4 linked regions of the Drosophila melanogaster genome follow. The protein of the gene in region 4 interacts with the protein of the main gene of each other region in a pairwise test. Each region holds a gene or a part of one and is shown on either strand. Other genes may lie near its edges.

Evidence for each region.
Region 1: the proteins of CG1850 (region 4) and CG13742 interact in a two-hybrid assay, tested with the Drosophila melanogaster proteins (one large-scale study listed by BioGRID).
Region 2: the proteins of CG1850 (region 4) and Jon65Aiii interact in a two-hybrid assay, tested with the Drosophila melanogaster proteins (one large-scale study listed by BioGRID).
Region 3: the proteins of CG1850 (region 4) and msi interact in a two-hybrid assay, tested with the Drosophila melanogaster proteins (one large-scale study listed by BioGRID).

What each region holds. Positions count from the first base shown.
Region 1 is NT_033778.4:9,083,739-9,090,103, forward strand, and holds CG13742 (uncharacterized protein), read right to left. Parts: upstream 3,895-6,365; 5' UTR 3,893-3,894; intron 3,833-3,892; 5' UTR 3,820-3,832; coding exon 3,568-3,819; intron 3,513-3,567; coding exon 3,349-3,512; intron 3,283-3,348; coding exon 3,176-3,282; intron 3,076-3,175; coding exon 2,855-3,075; intron 2,795-2,854; coding exon 2,640-2,794; intron 2,589-2,639; coding exon 2,477-2,588; intron 2,355-2,476; coding exon 2,207-2,354; intron 2,155-2,206; coding exon 1,983-2,154; intron 1,980-1,982; exon of another isoform or gene 1,927-1,979; coding exon 1,626-1,926; intron 1,585-1,625; exon of another isoform or gene 1,564-1,584; coding exon 1,006-1,563; 3' UTR 962-1,005; coding exon of another isoform or gene 924-961; 3' UTR 864-923; downstream 1-863. Other genes in the region: CNT1 (concentrative nucleoside transporter 1), read left to right, coding at 1-238, 295-622, 683-863, 924-961; Dbp45A (DEAD box protein 45A), read left to right, coding at 4,173-4,248, 4,304-4,845, 4,904-5,070, 5,128-5,486, 5,553-5,706, 5,770-6,037; Nadk2 (NAD kinase 2, mitochondrial), read right to left, coding at 6,180-6,283, 6,345-6,365.
Region 2 is NT_037436.4:6,048,622-6,052,779, reverse strand, and holds Jon65Aiii (jonah 65Aiii), read right to left. Parts: upstream 2,024-4,158; 5' UTR 2,004-2,023; coding exon 1,744-2,003; intron 1,685-1,743; coding exon 1,120-1,684; 3' UTR 1,090-1,119; downstream 1-1,089. Other genes in the region: Jon65Aii (jonah 65Aii), read right to left, coding at 1-53, 116-430.
Region 3 is NT_033777.3:25,514,301-25,519,782, reverse strand, and holds the start of msi (musashi), read right to left. Parts: upstream 3,666-5,482; 5' UTR 3,434-3,665; intron 1,461-3,433; exon of another isoform or gene 1,311-1,460; intron 523-1,310; 5' UTR 161-522; coding exon 54-160; intron 1-53.
Region 4 is NT_033778.4:7,258,099-7,263,549, reverse strand, and holds CG1850 (uncharacterized protein), read left to right. Parts: upstream 1-2,280; 5' UTR 2,281-2,411; coding exon 2,412-4,457; 3' UTR 4,458-4,683; downstream 4,684-5,451.

The sequences.
Region 1 (6,365 bases), 1.8 Mb from region 4:
TCATCCGGCCGTACATCGAAATACTGACCGTCAGCGAGTTGCACGCTATATGCACCTCCGGCTACGCGACAGTGGCCGGTACTGTCTTGGGGGCTTATGTGTCCTTCGGTGCTTCCGCCAGCTTTCTTATCGCAGCCAGCGTAATGGCTGCTCCGGGTTCACTGGCTTTCGCCAAACTGTTCTACCCCGAGACCGAGGAATCTCTGACCAGGTCCGACAACATTAAGCTGGAAAGCTCGTAAGTTCCTCTTCATAAGAGTCAACATTTGATAATCGCCCAGACACCTTGCCAAGGACGGATACGTCTATTTTGGATGCGGCCGCCTCGGGAGCTGCAGCAGCCTTGTTGATTGTGCTCGGAATCGTCTCGAATATCATCGCCTTCCTAGCCATTGTGTTCTTCCTAGACGCTGTAACGGAGTGGATTTTCGAGCTAATTGGACTGCATAACATCACCCTACTCTACATTCTCTCCCAGATCTTTATCCCGATTGTCTTCGTGATGGGCGTGCCGTGGCACGATTGTCAAGCAATTGGCCTGGTGGTGGCCCAAAAGTCGTTCATAAACGAGTTTGTGGCTTATAGAAACCTGGGCATATTGGTTAGCGATAAAAAGGTTGATGTGAGTACCCATCTGCATATTCTATTCTTATAGATTATTTTAAAACTAGTATTCTTATAGCCGCGGAGCGCTGCCATAGCCACTTTTGCCCTTTGTGGGTTTGCCAATCCCGGATCCCTGGGCATTGTCATCGCTTCGCTGAGTGCAATGGCACCATCCCGACGATCAGACATCACCAGGGTAGCCTTTCGATCCTATTTCGCAGGCAGTTTCGTTAGCTTTACATCCGCTTCGCTTGCAGGTAAACTGTCTTTATTTACACGTTATTTTTAACCGCCTTATCGCACAACATCTTAATTAGGGATTCTTATTCAAAATGAGTACACAGGTGGTAATTAATTGATTTAGGTAAGTGAGCGATACGAAAAGCATAGAGCAGGGAGCTAGGGTACAATTCCACTCAAATTGGCCATTACCTTCTTGAGCAATTCCCAGTCGGCAGCATCGAAATTCGCGGTGCACTGGGTCAGTTGAAGAGAAGCCTCATATATATTACGAAGGATTTCTTTAGGCGCCAATTCACTCCGTCGACGTTTTAGACTAGAGACCGGACATTTATGATCTCCATGGCGAATGTAGCTTGATTTACTGAGATCAAATGAACCGTCGACAACAGTTCCGGGTTCGACATGCAATGCCTTAAACAATGGGTATATTGCATGGCGGGCACTAAATGCTCTTAGTTGGGCGTCATCGCTGACTTTGCAGGAGTCGAGGAATTTCTCGCGATACCAGTTTGTGCATCCAGCATTTGGAGGCAGTCCCCTAAGTATAAGTAATTTGGTGGATCCATTCGCACGCGCTAGTAGTTTGAAGTAAACATTAGCAAAGCTAATGCTCTTGTCAATGCCTAAAAGTTTATTGGCCATTTCCGATGTCCGCTGAAACCAATGGGAACAGTCGATTTGATCGTGGTGCACCAAAAGTTCCAGTAGAGCAACCTTTGGGTATAAAAAATCAAGGTATGTATATCCATTTTATAAGTGTACTTCTACTTGCTTACCACTTCATAGTACAACTCAACTTTTGTGGGCGCTGAGGTGGAGATGAGTTCTAAGCGCTTCAATATCTTCATTCCCACGTGGCCATCTGATTTTGCGACGACAGACAGGTGCCGGAAGTTTTGAATGCTTATGACAGGAAGTTCCTGCTTTCCCAAGCAGTGGAAGTACCTAAGGAATCGTTGTACATGCAATTGGCTTGGATTTGTGGAAAACATGGCGTAAGAATTATTGCACTTATGCCAGTGAGCCATAGCCTCTTTTATGGCATGATCTGTCCAGCATTTGTTGGCCTCTTTTAGCCTAAAAACATAGAATAGTGAAATAAATTTTAAAATGTATGATTTATAATTACTAACCGAAAGCACAGCATGAGAATATCCGCACACACTTGCGATGTAATAAAATCCTTTTGAAATATGCCGGCACAGAAATACCTATGTAGTTCTATGTTACCCACTAAATACAAAAGACAACCAAACGCATCCAATACTTGATTATAGCGTTCGCCGTGAACAAAATTTTTAGCATCTGTGGGCTCAGTAAGTAGTAAGAAATAAATATGATCGAATCGACACCTTACCTTTAAACAAATATTCAAAAGTTTGTTGTAATGTTCGGCAAGTAGATGGGAGCACATCCGCATCGTCTGTAGACACAGCATTAATAAAATCCATGCAAGCGTCGAAGTAGTCAAATTTTGGTGTACCAAGGACACTGGATATTAAATACTAAAAGGACAAATTTTAGTAACATTAACAAAATCTGATGATGTATTGTATGAATGAATAGTTTTCAATCAAAGTCTATCCGAAGACATTTATTTGCAAGCGATTTCTGAATTTCATCTTACTTCTTGACATTTTTGGAACTTGTAAAGCAGCTCTAAAATATCTAGTACATGTGGTCGTACTAACACAGAAATTAGCTGTTGCTTCTCGATGTCAGAGTAATGTGATGGCCTCCTAAAAGAAAATACAATTATTGCAAATAACCATTTCATTTTTCAAACTTACGTTCGTTCACACATTATTAAGTCCATCAGACAAACAGCTACATCATCATCAACATACACCACACCTTTTTGAAGAATATGATATAACAATACAATGTAGGTCCTGATACCATCTACAAGCTCCTCTAACTTTTCCGCAGGAACAATACGATTGTCCTAAAAAAAATGTCTTGTTAAATAAACTCTTTTACAAATCGTAAGCTTTGTTATACGAACGATGTCAAAAGTACTATTCAAGTGAACGGTAACCACATCACATAGATGAAAAACAGTTTCCCTAAGCCAATTGGGCAGTTTTTCGTCTGTAGGATTAGCATGCCAGGTTGTCATGAAGTGCAAGCAAATATGAGCCAACGTCTCGCCTGTCTGTACAGATAACTGCAGATCACCAGTGCGTGTTCCTTCGGTATCTGCGATTTCCATTATCTTTTGCATCACTGACAATTGTTTAATATAAAGTCTATAATTAGTCTACAACAACTTTCAGATAATACTCAAATTTTTGGGTGTATCAATTCGTTAGTATTCCTAACTTACAGGTCGCAAGGCGAGGGTGGACTTCTGTCAAATTAATGATAGAATCCTTTATTAAAGAAAGCGTTTCGAGTTGAAGATCCGCAACAATCTGGCGATGACTCTTATCGCTGAATGATGTAAGCAAAAATATATAGAAATATTTTACATATAGGTTTTATCCAAGCCCCTCTTACCACATTAAACAGAAGTCGATAATTGTAAAGACAAGATAGGCAAGGATTTGAACCAAACGTTCGCCTGCTTCCAGCAATCGATCCCTGAATGTGGATACAAATTCTTGTGCCACAGACATGAGTTTTATATGACCGCTGTGGACTTCATTGCCAGTTTCTGCTTCCTGAGGACGAATTTAAAGTTAATAGACTGAAGCGCATTGTGTAAGAATTACCTACGATCGTGAACCACTTGCACATTTCCCGAGCTGCTAGTACACAATACCCGGAATCGTCGATGTATGCTCCTAATAGTTTGGTGAACCACAATGTCAAGACATCCACAGGATTCGCGGATTTATTTGCGATACATGCTGAGCAAATGGAAACCGCCGAATCAAAGTCTATCATCAGGATGATGTCCTTCTGGTCTATAGCCACCAGCTCACTGTAGGCTACAGATGCACCCAGGCTATCATGGTTTTCGGACATCTTTGCATTGAGTCTAAATCGAAATATTCAGTGTGTTTACAAAATGATCGCGCCCATAGATGCGGAATCTTACCTGTCTAGAGCGTGACTATTGTCGATTAATTATAAAATGTATTATTAATTTTATAGTGAATTTTTTCTTATTACTCGCCAATAATTCTGCGGTTGAAGTAAATAAAAAATTTAATTGAATTTAAATTAAAAATGCGTACTAAATACAGCTAACCACTCACACGGAGCAAAAATTAAAAACGTATCGATAGTTATATACCGATACAGAAGACAATACTTCCATCACTAATACAGCGCACGTTGTTTTCCTTTTTTATTTCGTTGTATTTTTATTTACCGAAATGCAACGAAAGGAGGCCAATCCCTTTCAGATCCTGGGCCTACGTCCATGGTTGGTTAAGCAGCTGACCAAGTTGGGTAATGTCAAGCCGTCCACGGGTTTACCCAAGTAATTAAACCATTGCGCTTTCAGGCCTGAAGGGAGCAACTCCAATCCAACAGAAATGCATCCCAGCGATATTGGCGGGCCAGGATTGCATTGGAGCTGCCAAGACGGGCTCGGGCAAGACCTTCGCCTTTGCCCTGCCCATTCTGGAGCGGCTGAGCGAAGAGCCAGTGAGCCACTTCGCCCTGGTGCTGACGCCCACGCACGAGTTGGCCTATCAAATCTCCGAGCAGTTTCTTGTGGCTGGACAGGCGATGGGGGTGCGCGTATGTGTTGTCTCTGGCGGCACAGACCAAATGGTCGAGAGCCAGAAGCTTATGCAGCGACCGCACATCGTGGTGGCCATGCCCGGCCGTCTCGCGGATCACCTAACCGGCTGCGACACCTTCTCCTTCGACAATCTGAAGTATTTGGTTGTTGACGAAGCGGATCGCATGCTGAACGGAGACTTTGACGAGAGCCTATCCATCATTGAGCGCTGTTTGCCAAAGACAAGGCAAAACCTTTTCTTTTCCGCAACCATGAAGGACTTCATAAAGGAGTCCAGCATATTTCCCATTGCCAGCGATGTAAGTTTTATGAATACCCTGTTGAATGGTACTAATAGATATCTTAATCCGAATGTAGTGTTTTGAATGGTCGCAGGACTCAGACGTGGCCACTGTAGAGACTCTGGACCAGCGTTATCTGCTGTGCGCCGACTACGATCGCGACATGGTCTTAATAGAGGCACTAAGAAAGTATCGCGAGGAGAACGAAAACGCTAATGTCATGATCTTCACCAACACAAAAAAGTTAGTTGCACAATAATAGGAAGTAAATTCTAAGGATTTAATAACGAATCATTTTAGGTACTGTCAGCTTCTCTCGATGACACTGAAGAACATGGAAATCGATAATGTTTGCTTGCATGGTTTCATGCGGCAAAAGGAGCGCGTAGCTGCTCTAAGTCGCTTCAAGTCCAACCAAATACGTACACTGATCGCTACGGATGTGGCCGCCAGAGGTCTGGATATACCCAGCGTCGAGCTGGTTATGAATCACATGCTTCCCCGGACACCAAAGGAGTACATCCATCGCGTAGGCAGAACAGCAAGAGCGGGGCGCAAGGGCATGTCCATCTCCATATTCCGCTTTCCACGCGATCTAGAGCTTTTGGCCGCCATTGAGGAGGAGATCAACACCAAACTTACAGAGCATCCCATCGATCGTAAGTTTTGTTGGAATTAGTGGCACACAAAATAACTATCTTTAATATATATATTATATAAATTAGAGCGCATGGTGGAGAGAATCTTTATGCAAGTAAATGTCACGCGCCGTGAATCAGAGATGCAATTAGATAATAACGATTTCGACGAGCGAGCGCAAAACTATAGGCGAAAGACGTGGATTATGGAGGGGAAGGACCCCGACCAAATGGAAGCTTTGTAAGCAGTGGAAAATACGCATATTCGTTGTATTTTATAACAATTTTTGTATCCCATCCACAGGTATCGTAAAAAACAGAAGGATAAACTAAGGGAAATACGCCGAAAGAGAAAACTGCAGCACGCAGAGCCGGCAGCCAGCGAAGAGGGCAAAGCTCTCCTACAGGACGAGCGTTTTAAATCTGTAGACAGTGCGAGGTTTGAGAAGAAGGGAAAAGGACGAAGTAGAGCCACCCAAGAAGATACCCCAACCAAGCCACTGAAAAGGCTTAACAAAGAAAAACCAGTTGCCCAAAAGGGCAGAGCAGATGTCAAGAAAGATAAAGCGTGATGTTTAAATATACTTTTATAAAATAACAAAATAACTTTTGAGCTTACACTGCTAAGTAGTTGCAAAATGCTTACTTAAATAATTTCAAAAATTCAGACATGCTAGAGCGAGATGACCAGGCACTAGGGGCGCATCACTGGATTCAGTCTAAAGCGATTGTCAGAAGGGCATCTTCTGGGTGAACCTCTAGCAAAGCCTTGGCGCCATCGTTGAAGGGGAACGAAATGCTGCCATCTATAACCAGGTCTGTGGAGATGTAATTGTCATAGTTATATCTTGTTTCGTATTTGAATGTCCAACTACTCACTGGCATCGATGCAATGCGACT
Region 2 (4,158 bases), on a different chromosome or scaffold from region 4:
ACGTGGGGAGTGCGGATCAGGGCGATGTCGTTGTGCAAGTTACCGGTATCGTACTCCGGATGCGTTACCGGTTACCGGTATCGTACTCCGGATGCGTAATGAGATCCGATGAAACGTGGGTGAACTGCGGCTGTTGGCGCCACACAGCTCCATAGCTGATGGTCACGTAACTGGCTCCATAGGTGCAGTGAGCCGCAGTGAGTACCCATTCGTGGCCAATGATGGAGCCTCCGCAGTACCAGCCACCGCCGTTTCCATTATCGAAGCGCAGAGCTACAATGTAGGGCACTTTTCCCTCGTAAGCAGGATACCCATTGGTAATACGTCCGTTAATCTTATTGCCAGCGGGCATATCCTTCACGGGAACAGGCCTTTCAAGGGCCGCCACCAAGGCGAAAGCCGAAAACAGCAAAACTCCAAGCACTTTCATCGCTTGAATGATTTTTACACTGAAAACAATGGCACTTGCGGCACTTCTTTATATAGTCTGCCGAATGAGTGGTATCTATCGGCTCTAAATATTCGTAATCAGTTGGTTTGAAGATTTACAATCTGCTTATATCTGCGATAGATCTTTACGATCTGCGAATATGAAATTCGATTACTTCGGGTTCCAGGAATAATTGCCATCCAACCTCAAGTAACCTTGTATATAGAATTTCAATAAAGGAGCTACAAAAACAATGAACGCTCTTAGAATATTGCATATTTTTTTCTGTTTCTGCCACTGCAGTCTAGAAGGCTGATATATTGTTATTTATGATAGAATGATTACGAAATCACCAAATTAGGGAAAACTACGAATTAAATTATTTTTAAAGCTAGAAAGTATACTACAAAATAGTCTGCAAGCATGATCGGATGTATATATATATATATATATATATAATGTATATATAATCAACCAGATGCAGTGGTAATACCGATCATGCATACGAGATGATTTAAATATTGCTGTAGTTTAATTACTTAATAAATTCGGACAAAGGTTGGTAGTTTTCGTATTAAGCATAAATATGGAATCGGTAATTCTGCTAAATTAACTTTTAAATCTGCAATAGTTTTCCCAGAATTAAAAGTTTTGGTTTTAGTCATTAATCGTTTTTATTTATGCTGTGCTTAGTAGGAGACGCCGGTGTTTGTCTTGATCCAGTCCAAGTAGCTGGTCACACGGGTGAAGCCAGCAGGGGCACCGGACTCACAACCAGCGCTCGACACGAAGGAGGTGACACCGATGAGCTTACTGTCGCTGACCAGGACCAGTGGGCCGCCGGAGTCGCCGTTGCAGGTGGACACTTTGTTGGGGGTAGCAACGCAGATCACGTTGTTGGTGGCTACCAGAGAGCCATAAGTGTTCTGGCATTGAGAGACGGACACAACCTCGAAGACTTCGTACTGCAGAGTGTTAGCGACGCTGGTGGCGGAATCGGAGGTCTTGCCCCATCCGGAGGCAATAGCCTGCTGTCCAGTGTAAGTGGAGTAGGTACCGGCGATGGCGGGCAGCTCAACCTTGTTAATAAGGGCGGTGAAGGCAACCGTTGGGGTCTTGATCAGGGAAATGTCGTTCCTCAACACAATCGAGTTGTAGCTGGCGTGCTGAACGAAGTTATCGGCGGAAACGGTCTGGACCAGCTGGGCACTAGTACGCACGGTGGCTCCGTAGTAAATGGTCACAGCGGAGGCACTGAGAGATATACATTAAAATTTAACTCATTTTGTAGATAAATAAATAAGTTAACTCACCCAGAAGTGCAGTGAGCAGCAGTGAGAACCCAGGTGTTGTCGATGATGGAACCACCGCACCACCAGCTGCCGCTGGTGCTGGCGAAGCTGAGTCCCACCTGGTAGGGGAACTGGCCAGAAGTGGCGGTCTTGCCGTTGGTGATGCGACCCTCGATATTGGTCACGGCGGGCAGGTCACGGGGGTGGATCGGCACCTGCTGGGGCAGCAGACCGGCGGAGGCGGTGGCCAGAGCCAGGGCGAAGACTACGAGCACTTTCATGATGGTCGGAGAACGAATGATTCTTTACCGGCCACACCAGCACTTTTATACCAACTAATTGGGCGGCTTATCATTGGCCGTGCCTCTTGTATTTTGACCAAGTCACTTCTGTTTATTCGCGTGAAATTGCTTATCAGTCGTGGGTTTTGCTCCGATTTTCGATTTTTTTCTTTCTTTTATTGATGTCGGCCAAAAAGGAAGCAGTCCCACTTATCGGCTTTGATTGACCCAAGCCAAAAAAAAAAGTATCTGCTGTTATCGGACTTGTGAGAAACCGGTGAGATTACAAACCGCAGGCTTTCAATTAAACGCACTTCACAAGCGAACTGGCGGCAAACGTTGTCCACTCGAATGATAAGTGGTAAGTGATAAGCATAGATTTCTCTAAATGACGGTAGTGATATTTTGCCAAACGGACGACTTTGGCTGACTTTTGCTCTGTTTTAAGGCATATACATGCATATTTATAGCTGGGAAAACCGGCTAAGCGAAATCGGTTTAATCGAATTATTTGATTATTTTCGGGAGCCATCGATCAGAAATTGTTTACGGCGACACTCACCGCAGTGGAGTGGCTGAAATACCCAGTGATTATCTGATGGCTGGGCCCAAATCGTATTAAGCATACGCAGCGGTGTGCCAAACTTGCCAACTCATTCGAGTGGGCGGGCGGTCAAAGGCGACAGTGGCAAGTTGAATCTGGGAAATTGAAATCAAATCGCCTTACGTGTCGGGCATGCAAAAGCATACTGGATTTTGGGGCCAGTCTCCAGAACACAATCCTGCAGGACATTAGCACATAAAAACAATTCATTGCCTTTCATGCTGACACATGTAGTGTGTAGTTGCTGTCGGGCAGTGACTTTTGTGGGCCACTGTGCGTGTCTGGGCCATAAATGCCAAGCATAAAATAGATTTAATCCTAAAGGAGCAGCGAAAACTTGGCCTGAAGAATTTTTCATCTATTTAATCCTTATATTAACTGCGTTTTATTGATTTTCCTCTGCCGTTCGTTTTGTTTGCCCTGCACTGCTGAGCGTTTTTATGGTTGCTTCTTTCGCTGATTGCGGAAAATTTCGCTTCTTTTGTCTCAGACTCTCTGGAGGAACAAAGGAAACTAATTTCCTGAAATATTTGCTCTCATTGTTTGTGGAGCAGCAGTTTAAAAGCAGCCCAAAAATAAAAAAGGGTCGCACTTTAAATTGCTGGCAGAGACGTATGTAGTACACTTAGATATAAATGTATATTACGTATACGTAATGCGCTCACCCGACACACACGCTTATTAGACGCATTTCCGGCTGCGACGACGACAGCCTGAACAACAATGTCCAATGTCCTCTCGGATAAAAGGAGCACTCGGCTTACCCAACCAGTTGCGTAGATGGGGGGTAAGTAAGAAAAGGATCCGAATATTCATCAGGATATGGCTACGCCTCTGGTTCAAGTGGATTTGAACACAGTTGGGATAAAAATAATAGCAAGCAAGAAAGCTTAGAAAAAATATACATATTAACTAATATTTTGATTCACGTTTTCACGTTAAATATTTTTATATTTTTACCTATGCATTTTAAAATTAATAAAATCTTCAAAAAAAGTTCCAAAAACTTTTGTTGCTAAAATAATTATACTTAGATCGCATAAATGGGCTTCGATCCCTTTTTAATAGTTCAAAGAACTATGAGAATGAAAAAGAGGTCTTGTTGCTAAAATTCCGACCCCAATTATATACTACGTGTGTAAAAGTCCTTAGGAAGGCATTTGAAATGTCCCCCAGCGTGCGCGCTCCTTTGACGAGGAAAAGGAAAAGGACGAGACGACGACGACGACGACAAACAAGATTGCAGCAATAAAATTTCGACAAGTGAACAACAAATGATAAACGAAGCAGCAGCTTGGGATAAAAAGCAGCAGCGGCAGCGAAGGGAGCAGTTCTCGGAGAGGTCAGCCAGTTGGTTCTGTTGGGGAGCCCTTGAAATGCTGTTGGCTGGCCAAGGACTCCGTCCGGCTCACTTCAACCGGGCTTGGCCCTCTCCGGGACGACCATCTAATGTGAGCCGCATCGATTACGCTTCCACTGGCACTCGGATTGTGTGTTTTGGCTGTCGCTATTCCCCCAATCCAATAATGTCGAAACAGGCACTTGGAGAAA
Region 3 (5,482 bases), on a different chromosome or scaffold from region 4:
AGTTTTCAGTGTAATATCTCAGGCTTTTCCGTCGTGGAAAGTGGAAAACTCACCTTAGATTTGGGACAGCCGCCGCTGCTGCCGCCGCCGCCTGCAGGGGCGGGGGCACGTTGTACGGAAAGGGCAACTTGGCCGCAACCGCCGGATTCTCGAACAGCATTCTCGCACTGTTTTGGGGGTGGTGCTGAGCCTGGTGGTGCTGAATCTGGAGGTGGGTGCTGCTGCCGCCGGGGGGGTTGATGGTGTTGTTGTTGGTGCTTATGTTGAGAGCGGAGTTTCCAAAGCAGTAAATTTTGCTGGTTTTTCGCTTATCCCAAAGACACACGCTGAGAAAATCACTTTAGGTCGCACCAAATACTTTGTTTTTCTTGAGATTTTTTTCTTTTTGCACTTTTCTGTTGACTTTTTGCAACTATTTTGTTAAATATTATGTATTTTATAACCGCACTGAATTATTTTTGTTTTTCTTAGGTAATACTCATTTTAATACCACCAATATTAGATGGCAAGGTTTCAGATTTTCTAGAAAAAAAATTAAGTATTATTAAACTATTGTTATAACATGTTTTATGGATTTTTTCTAAGAATGCATTATGTTATTTTATTAGTAAAAGTATATAGTCATGCAACTTTTTAATGTTTACATTAAATGTATTTGTCAATATTTGTGTTTTCATTGATATTTGTATCTGAAGCGCTTTTCCATTTCCCATAACATTGATTTGCATTATTGTTTATTAATTTTAACAATTTTTTTTGGCTTTCTGGGTTTTCTTTGGCATTTCTTTGTTTTGGCTTTACGCTTTTACTTTCGCTGTTTGGCATTCGCTTTTGCCTTTTGCTTCTCGCCTTTCAATGCTGAATTCTGAATTCTCTTTTGCCATTGCCGGCTTTTTCGACACATACACACACGCCACTGCACACACACACACACTAACACTCAAGAACTCACACACGTGCGTGCCGCTCTCAAAATGGTGATAAAATATTGTTGTTTTTGCCGTTGCGGTTTGATAATATTTCACACACGGCTTTTAATTAAAAACATTTGAGTCTTGGATCGCTTGCATAGTTTTTGTATAGTTCGCTGCCGGTTTTCGTATTAATTTTTCATAAATTTAATCGATTTGCTTGAACAAAAACACATGCACACGCATACAGAAACATAAATTCATGGCATAAAAACAAATTTCTGCGACGTCATTGAATTCGCCGCAAAAGAATATGCGAATATGTGAAAGAGAAATAAAAAACCAAAGAAGCGTCCCTCGACAAAAGAAACAAAAATGTCTTCGAGTTGAGTCACTTACACGCACACACACCAGTACGTTATACACACACTCACACACACTCGCTGGTGCAAATAAACGACGCGTGACGAAAATTACACGGGAAATATTCGCAAAAATCCACGAAATTCGACAATCCTTCCGCTTCGGGCAAGGAATTTTTTTTAACTAACGGTGAAGGAGCGGCTGCGAACTGTTTAAGGCGAGCTCAGCGAATTTCGCCGTGCTGCGCTGAAGCTCTGCCGCTCTCCCTCTCCGCTCGCTCTCCACGCTCTCTCTCTGGATTTTGGGACTCTCTCTGCAGGACGTGAATACTGAGCAGAAAAAGGAGCAACAAAAAAAGCTTGGATGCAACATGCGGCTGAGTCAGTTAATGACGTACCAACCTTTTTTTTTCTCCCCCCTTTTGTGTGTCTTTTATCGCGCCTCTACCGTCATCAAGCTGGTACTCCCCCCATAATCATTTCCGATATGCAGTTCCATGCAGTTTCCCCAGACAATAGGCCTACAATATAGCCATATAGTCGCATATAGCCAGCACACTGAGTCGCCGAACGAGCGTCTTTATAGCCCGCTTTGTTCTCCCCCCAATTTAAAGTGAGCTCTGGAATAGTGGAACACCCTCAACGATAACTCCATTATCTATCCTTCAAACATGGAAATGTTGAAGGTTTTTTAAGCAACTTTGCAGATTTTCATAAAATACGTATTCTTATAAACGTCGAAAAATATGATAAAAAAAAAACAATTAAGAGCTTACTTTGTAGCATGTATGCAACTAAATTCAGTATTTCCAAGTAATTGTTATTTATAGGCTCTAACTTACTGTCATTAAAGTGTAAAGAACAGAAACTATTTTATTTATATTTCGAAAAAAAAACCATGACTTATTTTTGAGCTGTCGTTTTAAACAATTTGCACTTTACTTTATTGGGAAAATCCTAAAATATATTTGTGGGTTACAAAATTGGAGCACTGACTGTACTTGACTTTCTGTGTTTATCTTATATTGTTTGCTCAGCTCGTATTTCTTTTAAAGCTCAGCTCGCAGCTGACGCATTTTGTTGATTTTGAATGCTTAAAACTGAGAAACAAAGAGTAATTGTTTAATTCAGTTGAAGGGAAGGATTGCCAGCTATTTCGCTTTGATTTATGTGAAATTTACAAATCAAATTTATTTCGGTTGGAAAGTGTTCAGTTATCGTATCTGTTGTTTAAGCTTAATTAATTTAATTGTCACATATTCCATGGGATTTTGAACTGTACACGGGCTTATGCGTGTTTATTTCTTTTAAATAACGACAATTTGTTAAATTGTAGTAAAATATTTCATTATCGTTAGTTCCCTAGAGCCATTTCTGATTTTCTTCAAATCTTAGGTCTCCTTTCAGTTCTTATCGTACACAACTCGTTGAGAAATACACAAAACTGAAACGCAAAATTGTTGTTGTTGATAAAACTGAGCTAGTCACCGACAACAACCACAGTAAACATTAACCACAGCTTGTAGTTTGATAATGGATTTTTCTGTTTTAAAAATTGATGGTTTTCTCCAGTGCACAAATGTTCACCAATCTCGAATCGAAATTTGATATAAATTTAATCCATTTGAATTGAATTTTGTATCAATTTATTAGTAAAGCACTTATTTAATTACACATGTTTTATTTAGTCAAATTACTGGGCTTTTTATCTCGAGCTGAGAGTTCATTGTTTTATATTATTTATACACACATATCTTGAACTCGTCTTTTGTATGGATTATCGGTCTCTTAGTCATAGCGAATTAAATTGCTTTATGTTTTGGCATTCATTAGTTAAACATATCATTAGTTAATAAACCATGAAAGTTGATTTTAGATTTAATGATAAATTTTGTTTATAATCTTAATAGCCATGAAATACATATTTTATTTAGCCGCTCAAGTCATTGATTTGAATAAAGCTTGATGGGTTGTGCATGCATGTGTAGAGAGATTTCGAATCGTATTTTTAATTAATTTGCATGCACTGGCATCCGTTTTATGGATGCGGTTTGTTCATTTAGCTTAACAATTTAACACGTAATTTAATTCAGTCATGCAACATGTCAGAAACAGATTTTCTTATTATTGTATTTTCTAGGGGCGACAAATAGGAATTACTTTAAATGCGCGGCAAACAAAATTCAAGCTTTGTTTGTTTGTTTATTTTCCATTAGCCCACTTCGGTTTCGATTTCGATTTTCGGCCCAGTCCAGAATCAAGTTAAGACCTGGCTTTATCTGCATGCACAAACGGAAATCAACGACAAAACGACGACGACACGATGAAAACGAATCCACGAATCGCTCCGCTTCGAATCAACTGGCTGTTGTAACGGTCGCAGGCAAACTGAGTCCGAAAGATACAGATACAAGTACAAGCGGCCCCCGCGGAAAAGTTCTCTCACCGCCTCTCGCTTTTTATACCTCTTCCTCTCTTTGTCGATCTATCTCTCTCGGTTGTTTGTCGTTTGCGGCAAGCATAATAAAATAAAACAAGTGGTCGAGTTTTCCAACTTGCAGATACCCGGTTTTTAGATACAATAAGTTTTAGATACACTAAGCTTAACTTCCCAATGATAAATATAATTTAAAAAATTACTTTAGGAATTTTATTTAAAAAATAGATATAATATAAAATATATTTTAAAATAATACTCTGCAAACGCAATATACTCTGGGAATTTCTGAAGTACAGGGTAATCCAAAAGGAGAGCGGAATCGTTCTCTCTCTTGCGATGCGATGGCAACAACCACCCACAACATAAGCGGTTCACTCGCCCCCACCACACCACCAGCGAAGGAACAAAAACAAGCAAACTCTCTCTCCCATAAACTGAGAGCGCGTTGTTGTTTGCGGCGAAGTCGCTCAAAAAACGCCATTTGGGGAGACAGCAACAACTTTTGGGACTCATACTGTTGTCCCGTTCGCACTCGAGCGCTCTCTAACTTCCGGTCCCGTATGCTGCGACGTAGTGTTGTTGCTGTGGCTTTTTCAGTGGGGAAATGAAAATGAGCATCATTTGGTATTTACTTGGTATTTTTCGGTACTTTAAAATTGTTGCTTAAGTGCAATAAAAAATTTAATTTAATTAATTTGAAGGAAATGCTTGTAATATTGTAATTTTTATTTAACACACACTTTATTATTATTTTACCTTTACCATTTTTATATGATTGTTAAACAACGACTTAATCCCAGTTTATAGCTTATTTTATAGCGTTTTTGTCGCCTGTTGCACCCACCGCAATTACCAAATGTCGGCACGCCCCCGCAAAATTCAAAATTTACACAAATTTTTTGCAAAATCGCAGACGGGCGCTCCCAAATCAGAAGAAAAAAATCTAAAACAATAATTTCAGCGGCTTATTAGACGGCCTAAAAACATCAAAGGCCTACCCATTCCTAAGCAAGATTTCATGAAATTTGCTCCTTTTTTTATTTTCTTTATAATTCACAACAAAACGCGCAACAAGCGCAACGAGTTTTCTGCAATCGAGCAGCTGACGGCGAAAAAGAGTTTTTTTCTGTAATATATTTTCCCTTATTTTGTTTGGTCCATTTTTTCATGTTGGTTCCTTTTTTGTCGGGACACAAGAAACTTGTTTGCAGAGCTTCGGGCGATAAAGAAGGAGAAATATATAACAATAGCAACAGCAACAACAGTGACTGAGGCAGACAGGTCAAAGGAGCAGTTTTTGCCCCTGCCACGCCTCCATTTCGTCTACATCTTAACCGCCCACCGCCTGCCACGCCCCCGCCGAAGCAGCAATAAATTCTGCCAGAAAGCGTCTTCGATTAGTTCGGAAATGGCGAGAGAAGTGACTGAAACGAATAAAAAGAAAATGTTCTTAGAAAAAGTCGTCATACGTCTTCTGGACTAAGAGATACCTCTTAATTCATTATAAAAGATTTTAGAATAAGTTATTGGAATTTAGAATTAAAAACAATTATACAACAATTATAACAACTGAAATATTTTAATACCATACATTTTAGATTATTGACAGTTACCACACTTTTTAATAGATGTAGATTGCCCAAAGACCCCAAGATCCATTCAGGAATACAGGACAACAGGACAAAATAAGCCATTGATCTATATCAATGGCAATATCTAGTCTGCAACTGATGTTCCCAGAGTTTATTACCGCTCAAAGGTAGAAATTT
Region 4 (5,451 bases):
ACGGAATACATAGAAGATTTGGAAATGGCTATGCAGCTTTCCAGACTTGGACTGTTTAACCCCAAATTACTAAACTACGACAAACTTGAAAATGTGAACAGCCAAAACATTTTGAACATTAAAACATCCACTTGGATTAACTACAATGATAACCAAGTATTAATCATATCCCACATACCCATTTACCTTTCACTAATAAGCACAATTAAAATAATTCCTTACCCAGACTCCAACGGCTATCAGCTAGATTACACAGACACACAATCATATTTTGAAAAAGAAAATAAAGTTTATAATACCGAAAATAAAGAAGTAAAAAATGAATGTGTCACCAATATTATTAAACACTTAAATCCAATTTGTAATTTTAAGCCAGTACACACGAACGAAATAATAAAATACATAGAACCAAACACAATTGTAACCTGGAACTTAACCCAAACAATTCTTAACCAAAATTGCCAAAATTCAATTAATAAAATAAAAATAGAAGGAAACAAAATGATAAGAGTAACGCAATGCAAAATAGAAATCAATAATATAATTTTAAGTGAAAATCTGTTAGAACCAGAAATAGATTTGACACCACTATACACACCACTTAATATAACAAAAATAAAAATTGTAAAACACAACGACATTGTTGAGATGATTTCAGAGAACAATATTACACTTTACATACAAATGATCATTGTAATAATCGCACTAATTTTGTTGTACTCATATTTAAGATATGTATCATTTAAACCATTTATGATGCTGTATGCAAAACTTAAAATAAGAAAAAATCAAAATCAAAACACACCACAACAAACAGAAATAGAAGAAACTCCATTTCCCACACTATATCCATCAATCCCAGCCCAAGTATAGGCTTCTCTTTAAGGGAAGGGGAGTGACGTATTTGGGTGGTCCAAACCAGCCACTTCCATTATTTCAAAGAAATCAGTAATGCACTCTAGTAATTTTCCATAACGTATCCCAGCTGCGCAGCATTCGTTTATCTTTGGCAGCGCAGCCGTTCTTGTAAACATCCTAAAGCCTGACCTAAGCAGATTTGACTGCCCTCTTTCAACGCTACCTAATCTTAAGAACCCAAGAGCGAGGCTCTCCCGAAATACAAATATTGTTCAAATACTGAGGCTTCTCCTCAATCCAATTTGCATTTGATTTTTAGTCTTAAGCTGAGATCCAAAGAATAAAGTCGTGAAACTATTTCTCCTAAAAACTATTTTTTATTTCTTGGCGTTGTCCTTAGTCAACTGACGGGACATTAGTTCGACTCATAAATAAAACAACAATTTTACTATATATATATAAACTCCACCTGGGATACTGTTCTTTGTAGCTCCTTTCTACATCCAAACGAGCCTCTTTTCCCATATATGTTATATTGCTTGCGAATTGATTTAAATAAAAAGCTGGTTCACAATTTGAGGCGGCTCCTCCAGCGAAACCACAAAAATGTGCTGGGATATAATGCCGGCGAGCAGTGATATAATTTGCATGATTGACATTGTTTAACCTTAATGCACATTTGCCTCCGTCCAGCGCCTTGGATCGGATCGGCCATATAACGGCGCCGACTGGAATTAACTTGAATTTATTGGGCAGCGGCTGGATCGGCAAACCGGTTGAAGGAAGCAGCTGAAGAACGGGCTCCATATCGGGCCATATCGAGTGACTGCCTCTGCCCGCCCGATCCCTTCCTTGGCCACCGCGTAATCGATTTCAGGCGCGACCAGACGGCGACTGTACAAAAATACAAATGAACTCCCGCTGGCCAAATTTGGCAGCCAGGAAGGGGATGATCGAGCCAGCCAAGTGCGACCATTGAGCCCCTTTGACAAATTCAATTAATTGTCCCTCGCATAGAGCGTGTCATTGATGAATCGATAGTCAGGCTTCGGAGCACCAAGGGTCCCAAAGTCCCTTCACTCGATCGGAACAGGCCAATGGCCATAAATTCCCAGCAGCCTGGGCTAAAAATAAAGCCAGACACGACCTTGGAGCATAACGGAAGAAGTCAAGCGAAGGCTGGTCCTGTTTCCATTGGAGGGAGGGTTGGGGTGTGTGTGCGGTCCATGAGAGGGGCTAGAGGCCGCTGGCCAATTAAGTTCGAGATAAAGAATCCCAGCGACCTGGGCCAACAGAATATTTATTGACACATCCTGTAGGGCCGGCCGGCCGTTCGTCCAAGGACATCCACAACCGCTTCCACTTGCGGTTCTTTTCCACTCGCCGGGATGCGGGTATAAAAACCCTCGGACGCGGTGTCCAACAGCATCAGTCTTCCAACAGCAGTAGTCGAAGTTGTAGCGAAGTTTTGGAGCACCCAGAGTTCCAGAAGTCCTACCAGTCGCTACCCAAAGTCAAACCCAACGAGTTGAAAGCAACCCAAGCACAGCAAGATGCGGCTATTTCTGATCGGCTTGCTGGCCCTGGGTTCCGCGAGGGCCTTCTCTGTGATCCGCACCCAGCCGCATCCGCAGCTGGTGGCCTACGCTCCGGCCAGAGGCGAGTTCCCAGTGGTGAGTGGCCTAGCCCAGGGCTACGTCCGCTACTACGATGGCACCGGAGCAGAGCGACTGCTGCCTTACAACTACCCGGAACCGCTGAACGGCATCCGGGATCTGTCCACCTCTAGTCTAGTCCGCTCCGGTGAGGAGCAAGAGAGCCAACAGATCGCTCTGTTCCGTGCCTGGTGCGAGCAGCGCTACCAGGCCATGCGCGTAGAACTGGATCGCCTGAAGGCCCAGGGCCTGAAACCCACACCCAGCATGCTGGCTCAGTTCGAGCCTCTGGAGCAGATCGTCAAGTTTTCCGCCTTCGAAGCCGTTCCCGGACTGACCCCGGAGGTCCAGCGCGCCCGGGATGAGCAGCTACGCATCTGGAACGAGGCCAGGCTGGAGGTGCTGCGCGCCGAACAGGCTCAGCAGCTGCTCGGCCAGTCCCCGGAGTACCAGTACGAGAAGGAAAAGATCCCTGTCATGTACGCCCAGCCTATGCAGCAGCAGATTGTTCCATACCAGGAGAACATATTGATCAAAACCACCACTCAAGATGCGCCTCAACCCATTGAGGAGACACCGGAAGTGAAATTGGCCCGCCAGGAACATCTGAAGCAGTTCAACGAGGCCCTCCTCCGGCAGCCTGCCCAGGAAGCCATCATCCTTAAAGCCGTTCCTGGAATTAAGCAGCCAATCGCGAGCCAGCCTCAGCCGATCATCAAGAGCACCACAACCATCTTTGAGACCCAGCCAGCTGCCCAACCCCAGGGAATATTCCAGAGGGGCAGCTTCACAGATCAGCAGACCCCACAGCCCATCGACGAAACTCCAGAAGTGAAAAAAGCTCGCGAGGAGCACCTCAAGCTGTTCAATGAGGCCTTGCTCCGTCAAACTACTGCCCCCGCAGAACCCACTCTTAAGGCGACGACCACTAAGAACGATCAGCCCCAAGCATTCACCTTCCCAGAAAAAAAAGCTCCTCAACCTATCCAGGAAACTCCAGAGGTCGTGCGCGCTCGGGAGGAGCATCTGAAGCAGTTCAACGAGGCCATCCTGCGGCAGCCAGTCGACATCCAACAACAGCCCCTGATTGCAACCGCACCGTTTGCTCCTCAACCCATTTTTAAGAGCCCCATTGCCGAGGTACCACAGCCCGTCCAGGACACTCCGGAAGTCAAGCTGGCACGTGAGCAGCACCTGCTGCTACTCAACCAAGCGAAAGTACAGGCCGAGGACAAGGTGGCCGACATTGCCGACATGATCCGATTGGAGGAGCGCGAGCAGGAGAAGGAGCGTCTGCAGGAGCTGGAACTGCGCAAGCAGGAGGAGAAGGAAGCCGAAATGGAACGCCAGAAGGAGGCAGATCGTCGGCTCGAGGAAACCCGCATTCTGGAGGCCGAGCGTCTAAAGATCGAGCAAGAAGATCGCCAGCGGTTGGAGAGTGAAAAGCAGGAGCTCCTCCAGTTGAAGGCCACCTCCGCAGCCACCGTACCCGAGAAGGACACTCCTGAATATCTGCGCAAGGCGGAGCAGTTCAAGATCATCAACAACCAGGTGCAGCCCCAGCAGCAGCCCAACATCGTGACCCAGCAGCAGCAAGTGCAAAATGGCTTCTTCCTGCGCATCCAAACCAACCAGCCCAACGCCATCCAGCCATCCACGGTCCCAGTGAGCACTCCTGCCCTAGTTCTAGCCGAGCCGGGCTCCAATCCCTTCCTGGTTCGATACACCACCAAGTCAGCAGCGCGGCCGCTTCCTCTGCAGACGCTTCAGCCCCTGCCCACTCCCATTGCCTCCGAATTGAAGCAGCAGGTCACATACAGCTCCACGTCGTCCAGTGAACTGGACAAAGCCACCCGGGAGCACTTCCGCGCCCACGAGATCGCCCTGGAGCAGCTGCGTCTGGCCAACCTGCGGAATCCCTGGACCCCCGACTGCCAGCACTAGGAAGCTGGAAGGCCCTCCTCCGTCCGAAAACCCCCGTATCCGAGCACGAATTCGAATCACTTGCATTGCCCTAGGTTAGATCACATGCCCACATCTCCTCAAACACAACACGTAAATCCATAACACCCCTCATAGGTACTCATACTCATACTCGTACACCTGTATACATAGCTTGGCTATTCACGCCGTCTCCCGATTCAAAATGCATTCAGTTGAGAAACAACGCAAAATACAGCGCCCATTTGACTGGGGGATCGGATGGTGGTGGGTGGTGGTTGGTTTTTAATGGTTGATGGTGGTTGATGGTGGGTGGTGGTGGATGGTGGGGTAAAAAGGGGCGGAACAAAGGAAATGGCTTTCTCGACTTTACTGTTATAGAACGCTGCCATGCTTGCCATGCTAATTTCGAGTCGCCAGATTGTCGGATCGATCAGAATGCGCATAAAATGCTAAAATGCGCCGCAAACTGGCACAGATGAAGATGTTATCTGATCCGCTCGAATTCGTTTCTGATCGATTCAGATCTTTCAGCACTTGACGCATAAATAACAAGTTGGTGTTATATGGCCTGGTCTTTGTGTATGGTGGGGGGGGGGGGGGGGAGTGTGTGGATACTACGCGAGGATACTCTATGGGGAATCGCCATCGGAATGATCGGATAATACGGGAGTTTCGAGTGCAGTAGCAGCGATAAGTCAGTCGGGCATATTTAGGTAAAGGTAAGCCTAAAATTAGAATTTTCAATGCTGCAAATAGCAAGTGATATTTGCATTTCAGCACCAAGAAAGTGTAGCTATAATTCAAAATAAGGCCGACAGTTTGCCGGCCAATCTGCATAACAAATTTGGTAACTGCAGCCCGCGAATGGTGTCACACTTCTAGCTGTTTATACAAACTCCGCTATTGACCCTGATCAGCGATCCATATGTATGCACCGCCTCTTTAGGCCCGTTACACAAATCTCCATAAATCGAAGCCTTGCAATTCGCGTAGC